Linked DNA regions of Caenorhabditis elegans. The protein of the gene in region 1 interacts with the protein of each later gene in a pairwise test. Each region holds a gene or a part of one and is shown in the gene's direction. Other genes may lie near its edges.

Region 1 (4,847 bases):
TACGCATAATTAATTTTCCCACTAAACGTTTTTAGAATGAAGCTGAAAGTGAGGTTTGCGTGTGCTTTGGCAGTAAACTAAGAGTATAGATGCCTATATAGGCACAGGCAGGCGTAGGTTGCAATGGCGAAGGTAGAAAATTTGAGAAATTAGGGCACAAGAGCAATACACCAATACAAAAAGGTCAGACAAATTACCTTCTTATTTATGTGATGAATTCTTTGGAAAGTCATATTGTAATCTGACTCTCGCATCTAGTCGCCATACCTTTTGTCTAATATTCGAAACCTTATCTACGTCGTTTTAACCACCCTCAATGCGTGTGTGTGTGCAAAAAGTGTGTTGTGTTTCGGTGGTGCAGAGATCACTGCTCCATCTTTTGATCTTTTTTCCGCATTTTCTGTTTTTCGTATATATTCAAAAGAAAACACTTTGTCCTCCTCCTTTTGCTTTGCGCGCACGCTTGCCAAACTCTAGTCTTCTTGACCACCACATCAAATCAGAACTTGTTGGTTTCAGATGAAAAAGGGGCGAGAAATATGAGAAGATCAAATGATCGTCTCTACTCTACTTGAATAATCTCAATATGCTGCTACGTGCTTGAAGTACGTAAAAAGAGCAAAAGATAATCTGTGCAATAACAGCTGATTATCGGGAGAGGAGGGCAGAGAGCTATTCTGATTGTAGGAATATGTCAGAAGCTGGTCTACGCCAACTGATCTTTCGAATTCCCCTGCCAGAGATTTTGACTAAAGTGAAGTCAGGTCAGAAGAGAAAATGTGTATTTTGTTTTGTTCTTCTGATTCTTTTTGGATCAATGAACATTTTTGAAATTGATATTTAATATAGTTTGTGTGGTATAAATGCTACGTTTATTCCCATGTTTTTTTCATTTCTGGGCAAGTTTTAGTAATTTATTTTATAGAATTCTCTTTGCAACTGATTACGAATAACTACATTTTGAAAATTGTACTTTTTATAACATTCAATTTTTAAAACTACTACTTTGTACTGTCAGCAATCAAAACTTCTTAATGAAAGTTTGCCGTACTCTTACTCTAATCAAGCGATCCGGTTTCGCATGACCTTCTCACCTTTTCAACTGCTTCACGTGACATCAATTATGAATAATGCAAACTTTCACTTAATTTTTTAAAATTTAACCGACATACATACCTGTTATAAATACAGAGCCGACGGGACGCGACTGAAAATGAATAAAATCGTGCTCCATACAATTTATGTTCTGACTAGTAAGCTTTTTCATTTTCATCCGTTCAGCCAATTTTCAAAATTTTGTACGCCTGACATGTTTTTATGCATACCGAATAAGAAATTCAAAAGGTTACATTCCACAATTTACAATTTGCAGTTAAAGCCTTTTTTAATTTTATAATTGTAAGCATTTTTTCAGTTCTGTAATCAAGAGTCCTACAAAAAAATTGGTGCACTCAACACTGTGCCCTGCTTTTCCCAAAAAATTATTTTTTTGTTGAAAAATCGTAGTTGAGAATTCTTGAACATAGGTTCGGCAAAACTGAAAAAAACACCTAGAGCTCACAGTGATTATTACAAAATTTAGAAAATATTGCTGAATCTAATTGTAAGTTTTGACGACTTTGTCACATTTTTTCTTGCCGTATTATCTGTAACTTGATCAAACAGTTGTTCCAGTTTTCCTAATAGTTTTCATGAAAAATAACGTATTTTGTACTCTTTTTCCTATCCCACATTCGATAATATTATCCACCATCATCATCAGAATTTCATCAATTTCTCCCATTTTTCTCTGTCATACAGGGTCATCGAAAGACCACGTGATGTAACGCTTTTGCAGGCACCTAGCATGACGGATTACTGTATTTTCAATATATCTTGGATGTCTGATCGTTTTGGGTGTGAAACTGGGAATGAAGACGTGCAAGAATGTATTGATAAAAGGTGGGAGAATGAAGAAAAAAGGAATAGATCAAAGAAAAAGGAAGAAGATAATATGATAGAAATTATGAAAAATGAAGATACGGTTAGGAAGACAACTAAACATGATAATCACTTATTTTGAGATCTTTTCGGAGAAAAATGATAACAAGAAAAAAAAAGAGATGATCGTGATTGTTTTATTTTTTAAATAAGAACTAATCTATTTGAGGGGTTTTCAATTAAAGACTTTTAACAGTAACTTATAAAAACACAGTATTGAAAGTTCGATTGTCGGCAGTTCATTCAAAATTGACAGATTTTAGAAGCTGTCTGCCTGCTTTGCAAGTTCACTCTTATCAGTATTAAACTGATATTACCAGCAATATATCCGCTAATTGATTAAATGAATTTTTAGTAAAAATAATTTGAGTAGACTGTAGTATATTCTGATTTGCAAGTTTTATTTGATCAAGAGTTTAAAAAGAGTCTAGTGAAGTCACATTGCATCAATTTGACAGGCCTTCTTTGTTTTGCATTATATCAATAGATTTTCGGATCTGCCAATGTTTTCAGGTGTGTCATATATGTTTTTTTGTTTGCTTTGTAAATATAAAAAAAACCTTTTTTCAAGAAAAAGTGACATGTTTTCCAGATACTGCTGCAAATTTTAACTTTGAAATAGTGTATTTTTTATTTTTCAGCGCAGAAACACGTGTAAATTCGGCGGTAAGACTGACTTGACGGCATGAACGTTCATTTGTTTATTTTCTGTAGAAAAACAGTTTTGACGAACCACTAAAACTAGATGCTTCCACGATTTCTAGAAGTTAAGCTGGAATTTCATACGCTGAATAATCGTGAACTCATGGCACAGGATTAAAAAATGCTTCCAAAAAGTTCAAGTTGTATTTTGGAATTAGTTCAAAAATTTTGGAAATCATAGACATCGGACTAAATTAAATAAGTTCGATTTTTGTCCATCTATCCATTTGCCTGTAACTTCCATAAATCACAACCAGTCCTTTGCCTCTACCAATTGATCGGATGGCGTCAATCGACTATCGATTCTTCGCCCGATGATATCATTCTTGTCCATTCCTGACCCTATCGACACGATTTTCTCATTTTATTCTGAATTCGGTGCAAACTGTACCTTTCAACATCGTCACTCTTTTTCCAGTAAATAACGGATTAGTCGGAGGGTTTTTGAATGTCAATTCCCACTTCAATCCTATAAAAATGTAAAACATTCTTCTCTGGTTGCTAACTATAAGACCAAAGATCCGAGCGTCTTGTTGACCATCGGGTCAGTAGTGCCACGTGGTGTCTCTCTACTCAATTCACACTCAATTTGATCTTTCGATCCACTCCTTTCTCTGCGTATCCACGTTGATACTTCTCTCGCCGCCCTTTGTACAAACAAACCGTCGGCAGAATTGAGAGGGAAAAGGACGAAAAGTTTCCATTTTTCAGTTGAAACGCTAGGGAAAAAGAGTAAAAGAGATGATGAAAGACAGTGAGTTTTACACTGATTATGTGTATTTTATGTTGGTCTTCAACTCTTTTTTTGCCTCGCTTTCAATCTCTCTCACTCACTGTTTCAATATCGTTTTTGACTATATTTGGTTGCAGGGAACTGTTTCTTGTTTCAATTGTCAGACTACACTTTTTTCACTGTAACAAGGAGCTTTTGTGATACGGAATAGCCATAGTCTTCAGAAATTGATTTTGAGAAATTTTTTCTTTCGTTTTTAGTGGAAATTGTATTTTTGATTTAATTTGTACTATTAAAAATGTGATAAAATTTTACTCAAACTTTTAAAATCTCGAAAATTCCCTTAATTCTATCCCTAAAATTTGAACTATTCTGTTAGTGTAGTAGACCAAGAAATGGTTTTTTCCAATGATTGTTTGATTTTCTTTTAATTTTTAAAAATATTTTTAGATTTAATATGCAACTTTAACCTTCTCAAAATAATCAGAATTACAGTTTTTTCACGCCTTCCAATGTTTTTTTTTCAATTTTGACACATTTAAATGTAATTATTTATACTGCATTCATTTTTTGGTCACATTCAAATTTATTTTATCAAGATTTCTCTGCTAGCTACTTAATTTTTAATGCAATTCCCCACATCAGTAACTTTCTGATCCTATATTGTTAGAAATCTATTTCCAAATTGAGAACTATTTACAGTTGTGTCGTCAATCTCTGTAGAAAGTTACAAGTTAAAAAAAAAGAACATATTCTATGAATATTATATCATAGTTTGATCATCTAGTTGTCTAATCTCAACTCTATATCGGTGGGTACTGCTACCCGTTTTTCTCCCCATACAAAAATCGCCTTGCACATCTGAATCTCTTCGTCACGTGACACTCACTAGCTCATCTATTTTCTCTAGGATTCTCTAGGACTGTCTGCGTCTCTGATTTTTGAATCCTCTCTCGTTTGAATCGATGTAGTTGTGTGACGCTGATTTTGAACGTTTGAACTCGCGCAGGATCGAGACGAAACATTTTTTCGGTATGCGCGTTGAAAAAGGAAACGAAAACGGTGCGAGAAAAGCGGTAGAGACATCGCAGACACGAGGTCAACTTGTGTCCCATTCCTGTTGATATTCTCACTTTTGAATTTCAGTTTTTGAGTTACTTCAAACTTTTTAAAAATACACAATTAATTGAAATATTATATGTGTATTTTTAAGACGTTCTACGGGAACTGCCCCTGATTGTTCACATCTTATTGAAATTTTTTGAACTCTACCCCAAATTGTGAAATTTCAACTCACTGCATCAGAACTAACAAAACTGAATTTTAAATCTTTCGTTAATTTCAAACTTCTGTTTCGAGTTTTAAATTCAATCTGGTTTGTCTTCCGTTTTTTAAAATTAATTCTTGAATGTAATTTTTGCAAATTCTTGAT
Region 2 (5,698 bases), on another chromosome or scaffold:
TTTATCGATAGAATTTTTTAAAAAGTTTTAAATAAACGAGTAAAAATGGAATATCGATGTCTCTATTCGAAAATAAATTCATTTTATGCCGAATTCGAGCCCATAAATCGACACGAGAGCTATAGCTGTTATTGTTTCTTGAGTTATTATACTGAGTTATTGCTTCTTCTTCAATTTAATTGGTATCTTTTTTAAATTATCAAAAAATCTGAAAACTTGGAAAGCCTCAAGTTTACTCATAACTTTAATCCTGTTCAAATGGCAAAGTTCTTCAATCCAGATTACAAGAGTGACAAACAAACAATTTGCAATATCTCGAATGACACATTTGTCATAAACTTTACTGATGAATTTTTTAATTTCGAAAAAACAAGGTGATTGAAGGTTTATTTGTTTTCTTTCAGTGTTAATATATACATTTTATAAATATTTATGTCTTTCGGTTTTTTGTTGCTAGTTTTCCAATAAATTTTCACATTGAAAAACAATTGTAATAAATATTTATTAAAAATAATAAAAGGACAAAAAAGCAAAGTACCGTAACGGTCTAAAGGATTGTCAACGATTTTTAAAGGTGGGTCTTGACGCGCGAGTTTCAAAACGTCCATGCGCCTTTAAGGATACTGTAAAAGTATGCATGGAAGTTTATTTTTTTTATTGTTTCCGCATTTTTTTCTCAGTTTTCCCTTTGTTTGGGGGTTTTTTCTTTGTAAAATTTGTGTTTTGCTTGCAAAGTTATTTTTTGAAGAAAAAATGTCATGAAATTTTATCATATGAAACTATGTATTACTGAAATTAATTTATAGATCCTTGAATTTTGCAAAAATTTTGGTCGCAGAGAACAGTTCAAATATTTATTTATTATCTTTTCGAAAAGTGTAAAACGATTTTCATAAAATTCGAGCACAGAACACAAAATCGTCGCACACAAATTCGTTTGTCTTTGCTCTTTTTTAGAACCTCCAGCTTCTTCACCTTTGTGCAATCCATTGAAACCTCCTTCAGAACCTCTACGACCGCCCGTTAGACTCCTCCTCTCCATCACGTTCTCTGCCATTCTCCGCTTCTTGCCCAATGTTCCCGACTGTCTCTCCGTCTGCGTCTCTTCTCTATCTCTCCTCTGCGACAGACGCACTTTCTCTCTCTCACTCACTTGTTCACCTTATCAAAATCTTTTTTTTTGTGCGATGTGGTTGGTTCGACGGTCAATTGTGAATTGTCTATGGTGTAGAAATCGATTATTAAATCTTAATTACACTACTTTTTCGGTCCAATGGTGGTATAGAGCACTGCCAATGTGAGTCATGATGCAATTTGCATGATGGAAGCTTCTAGGCTTTTCTATGCAATTTTGAATTTTCTTTCGATTTTCATCAGTTTTTATAGATTTTTCTTGCAAAAATCAATGTTTAGAAATCCCCATAATGGTTCGCTGCAAAAAAAGGATTTTTGGTTCAAATACAGTGAAACTGCCAGAAACAACCTAATTTTATGACGAGACTTCTTGAAAAAATCCAACAATTTTTATGGCGAGTCAAAATTTCGAAAAAAAAAAACAAATTTTCGTTAAAATCTGAATTTTGTTGATTTTTTTAATGCCTTAAAACTTGTGTCTGAATCAAAGATTTAACGTGATACAAACACCCAAAACATTCGATAATAGTTATTTATACAAATTTATGGGATTTTTCAGTCGTTTCAGGACCCAAAAACCCACAAATTTAATTAATTTTTCTTTTGAAATATTTCAAAAATATCAGTTTCTTTTTAAATTCCATCGTTTAAAATATTTTAAAATATCTCCAATTTTAATAGAAACCGCCTCCTTTCGCCTTTTGTCATCTGATATATGAAATATGATATGCTTTACACATATATCCCTCATTCTGACCTCATACCACTTCCATATTTCTCAATATTCTAACCTATTTTTCCTTTTTCAGCCAAACTCTTCATTCCATCTGAAACAGTACCATCAAAATGTTTTCCCGTGTGGGACGTCTCACAACTTTTGGTGCCCAGGCTGTGTCAAATTGTCCGTTCCGCAGAGATAACATCTATCAGCAGCCGTTGAAGGTTTGCTTTTTGTTGCAGAAAAATATTATTTTTGACATGAAAAATGTTTTTCAGGTAACCGCACCGATCAATGACCAGCTGACCAGTTTTGCGCACAGCTTCTCCGATTCAGTGAGGCATAGAACGTGAGAATTGCGCGAAAAAATTCAAATCAAGAAAAATATAAGCTTACAGGACCAGCTTCGGAAATGATCCATTCCTCGGCGTACCCATGGACGACGATGAAGTCATCAAAGAGCTCGAGCTACTGGACCTCGACTCATGGCACACTAAGCCTCGGGCTCCGTGTCCTGCACCATCAGACGAGCTGGAACTCGATCAGTTCTGGGAGGGAAAAAACGTGACGGTTTGCGGCAGAGATCCTAGATTGGGAAAATCAACTGATTGTTTTGAGCTGGAAGCATGGCGACCGACCGACTCATGGCAGAATGGTAGCAGTGTTGGACATCCACATGGTCATCAGCAACAACAGCAGACATGTCAGCAGCCGCCCACGCATTCAAGTACAACAGAAACAATGCATGATTTCTCCAATTTTGGAGATAATATGGTACGGGAAAAATAGTTCTTAACCATTGTGCAGATTTATACAACAAAAACTAACCATTAATTTCGATTTGTGTGTTTCTAATCGAATCTTTTTCGCATTGCCGACTAAAAATCCCCCAAAAAGACCTTTCATAACGAGAGTTTTTAAAATTTTCGAAAAAAAATCAAATTTAGCTGAAATCTCCAATTTTGCCAACTTTAAGCCGCCTAAAATTAGTTTTTCTTTTTTTTTTGGTTGATTTATGTGCATTTAAAGCCGAAATCAACACAAAAAAAACACGAGAAACATTAAAAATAAGACAATAATCAAAGGAAAATTAAAATTAATTTCCGGCTGCTGGAAGTTAACAAAATTGGAGAATTAAAGGTGCAGTAAAGTCCAAAAATTTTTTATTTTTAAAAATTTTCTAAAATTTTTTAATAGTTTTTTTTTCAATTTTTCAAAAATCAAAAAAACGGCCGAATTAAATTTGAATTCCCGCTCAAATTAGTGACGTTATTTTTGATATTTTCGTGTTTTCTGGCTGAATTTACCGGTTTTTATTAAGTTTTTCTTTTATATTTGATTTGAAACAACGTTTTTCAATTTTTCAGACACTTTTTCGGTTATCAAGTTATCTTCACGGAAAAATGTTCGAAAAATTGGCAAACGGTGCTTTTTTTGAGATCAAATGTAAAAGAAAAAATTAAGAAAAACCGACGAATTTAGCCAGAAAACACGAAAATATAAAAAATGGCGACATTCATTTGCGCGGGAATTCAATTCGACCGTTTCTTTGATTTTTGAAAAATTGAAAAAATCTCAAAAAATTTAGAAATTTTTTTTGAATTTTTTTACAGTTATATTCGGTTATTAGGGTCTATTTTCTGTCATTTAAAGCAAAAAATTTCGACTCTACTCCACCTTTAAGCTAAAATTTGGTCATTTTAGCGAAAATTTTGAAAATTCTCGGTATGAAAATCCGGGTTTTCGACAGCATGCATTTTGATCCTAATAAAGCAAAAACCCTGAATTATAACATAAAAAATACAAAAAAATAACATCACACCACCCACTTTCCCGCATGCTAATCTGCTCTCTTTTCAGGGCTCCCCGCTCTTCCAATCACCATCAAAATCGGCGATCGATCAGCTAACGGGAACTTCCCGAATAGATGAGGTATCTTTTTCCCCTAATCCAAGAACTGATTCTATGATTGAAATAGTTTCAGTACGGAATGCCACCACAAGATCGAAAATTGTCAAAGTTCGAAATGGACATTGAGCAAGAATCGAAAGCTGTCGATTGGGAGGTATGACTTGGAAAATAATTTCTTGCTAATATTACACTTAACACTTTTTCGTTTTTTCTTGGAGTGTTCAAAATATTAGTGACCTTTAAAAATTAATTTTAAATGAAAATCATTAATAATTTAAATTTTTTAGGCATGGAATCACTACTTGGAGAGCGACGACGACGTTTTTAAGCGTCCAGAAGCATTTTTCAAGGAAGAACCCATGATAATGACGTCATCCGATTCGTTGATGACTTCGTCAACTTCATCTCCAGATTCTGGAATAAGCCTCTATGATCCGATGATTCCACCACCATCATCTCACTTTCCCAGCTTCAACCTGAGCTCTTCATCATCAGCGTCGAATCTTTTGAGACTGTCAACTCCATCAGCTCCAATGCAGCAAGAACATCGAGCACCTGTCAGAATGCACCATGATGTTGATCTTTTCTCTTCTGGACCTCTTCTTTGTGTTCCGAAACAAGAAGACGTTTTCGACGACTTTATCCAGCAGAGAGATGATGACGATGAAGACTATATTCCAGCATCTGAAGCCAGAAGAACAAGTTCACGTCTCAATCGGAAATCTGCTACGCCAACTTATCTTCGGCGTCGTGATTCTGAACGTTCGTGGACGCCAGCTTCCGATGACTATTTTCCAGAAGAACATCAGAAGTTTAAGAAACGTGGAGTTGTTCTGAAGCCTTCAGTCGACGAGGAAACCGATCGAAGACGAATGTTGAATAGAATAGCAGCAGTTCGGTATAGAGAGAAGAAACGAGCCGAGAAGAAGGGAAGAAAAATGTAAGAATATTTATTTTAAACTTGCAATCTTGAAAAATATAATTTTAAATTTTAAAAATTTAAAGCAGATAGATATCTAAAATTTAATATTTTTGCAGGGAGTTCCAAGAAGTAGCTGATCGTAATCGAATTCTTCTTCAAAAAGAACGTCAACTAAAGCGTGAGATCAACTCGATGAAAAAGGAGCTTCGTAAAATGGGCGCCATTATTCAATAATCAGAATTCGAAACAATTGTTCTTTTTTTCTGTTCTTTTCAGTTTTGCTAACTTTTTTTTTGGTTACATAGTTTTTCTCCCTTTGTTCACCCAACTGTAGATCATTTTTCATAGAACCTTTCCCCCATCTTTTTTTTCTCTCAAAAACTGCCCATTTCTTGTATTTTTGTTACGGGTATTCGATCCCAAATTTCCCATCCAATTTCAACTCCTCAAATCTAAACTGCTCACATCTCAATCAGAAAATCAACTCAAAATGAATGATAATTTTTTTAAAAATTGTTTCACAAATGTCAAAACATTTCAATGATTTTTCTTGTGTTCGTGACGCAGTTGTGTAACATTTTTACACAAACATCACTGCTGCACGATGTAATATCATCGCCATGAGACGGTAAACTTTTAAGAAAAATGTGGTTTGATATCAAGGTTGAACATTGTTCCTGTGTCGAATTACGCAGCTCGTGTACTCCCCGAGGAAAAGCTTTTACAGTTTTTTGCTAGAAATGCAGAATTTTGTTCTATTTTTGCGAATTCTTATTTTGAATTTACCACTCAGATAAACGTTTTCGCTTCTATTTAGAAGAAAAAAGCAGATATATTTAGAAATGGCGCTAGCTCCTAACACGACATAATTAGAAATGCTTTTTCATCTAAATAGCAGAGCTTTTTATAACTAAATAGGTCTACTTCTTCTAATTAGAAGTACCTTTTTGTTCTAAATAGGTCTACTCTTTTCTAAATATAAGCGCATTTTTCTTCTAAATATGTCTACTTCT

What was found. Proteins that work in one complex are often made in the same cells at the same time.
Region 2: the proteins of nhr-34 (region 1) and atfs-1 interact in a two-hybrid assay, tested with the Caenorhabditis elegans proteins (one large-scale study listed by BioGRID).

What each region holds. Positions count from the first base shown.
Region 1 is NC_003282.8:9,669,661-9,674,507, reverse strand, and holds the start of nhr-34 (Nuclear hormone receptor family member nhr-34), read left to right. Parts: upstream 1-1,837; 5' UTR 1,838-1,846; coding exon 1,847-1,941; intron 1,942-4,847. UniProt on the Caenorhabditis elegans protein: Orphan nuclear receptor.
Region 2 is NC_003283.11:14,192,503-14,198,200, forward strand, and holds atfs-1 (Stress activated transcription factor atfs-1), read left to right. Parts: upstream 1-1,943; 5' UTR 1,944-1,980; coding exon 1,981-2,076; intron 2,077-2,130; coding exon 2,131-2,201; intron 2,202-2,250; coding exon 2,251-2,626; intron 2,627-3,712; coding exon 3,713-3,784; intron 3,785-3,830; coding exon of another isoform or gene 3,831-3,836; coding exon 3,837-3,917; intron 3,918-4,050; coding exon 4,051-4,703; intron 4,704-4,801; coding exon 4,802-4,919; 3' UTR 4,920-5,190; downstream 5,191-5,698. UniProt on the Caenorhabditis elegans protein: Acts as a transcription factor during mitochondrial stress by activating the mitochondrial unfolded protein response (mtUPR).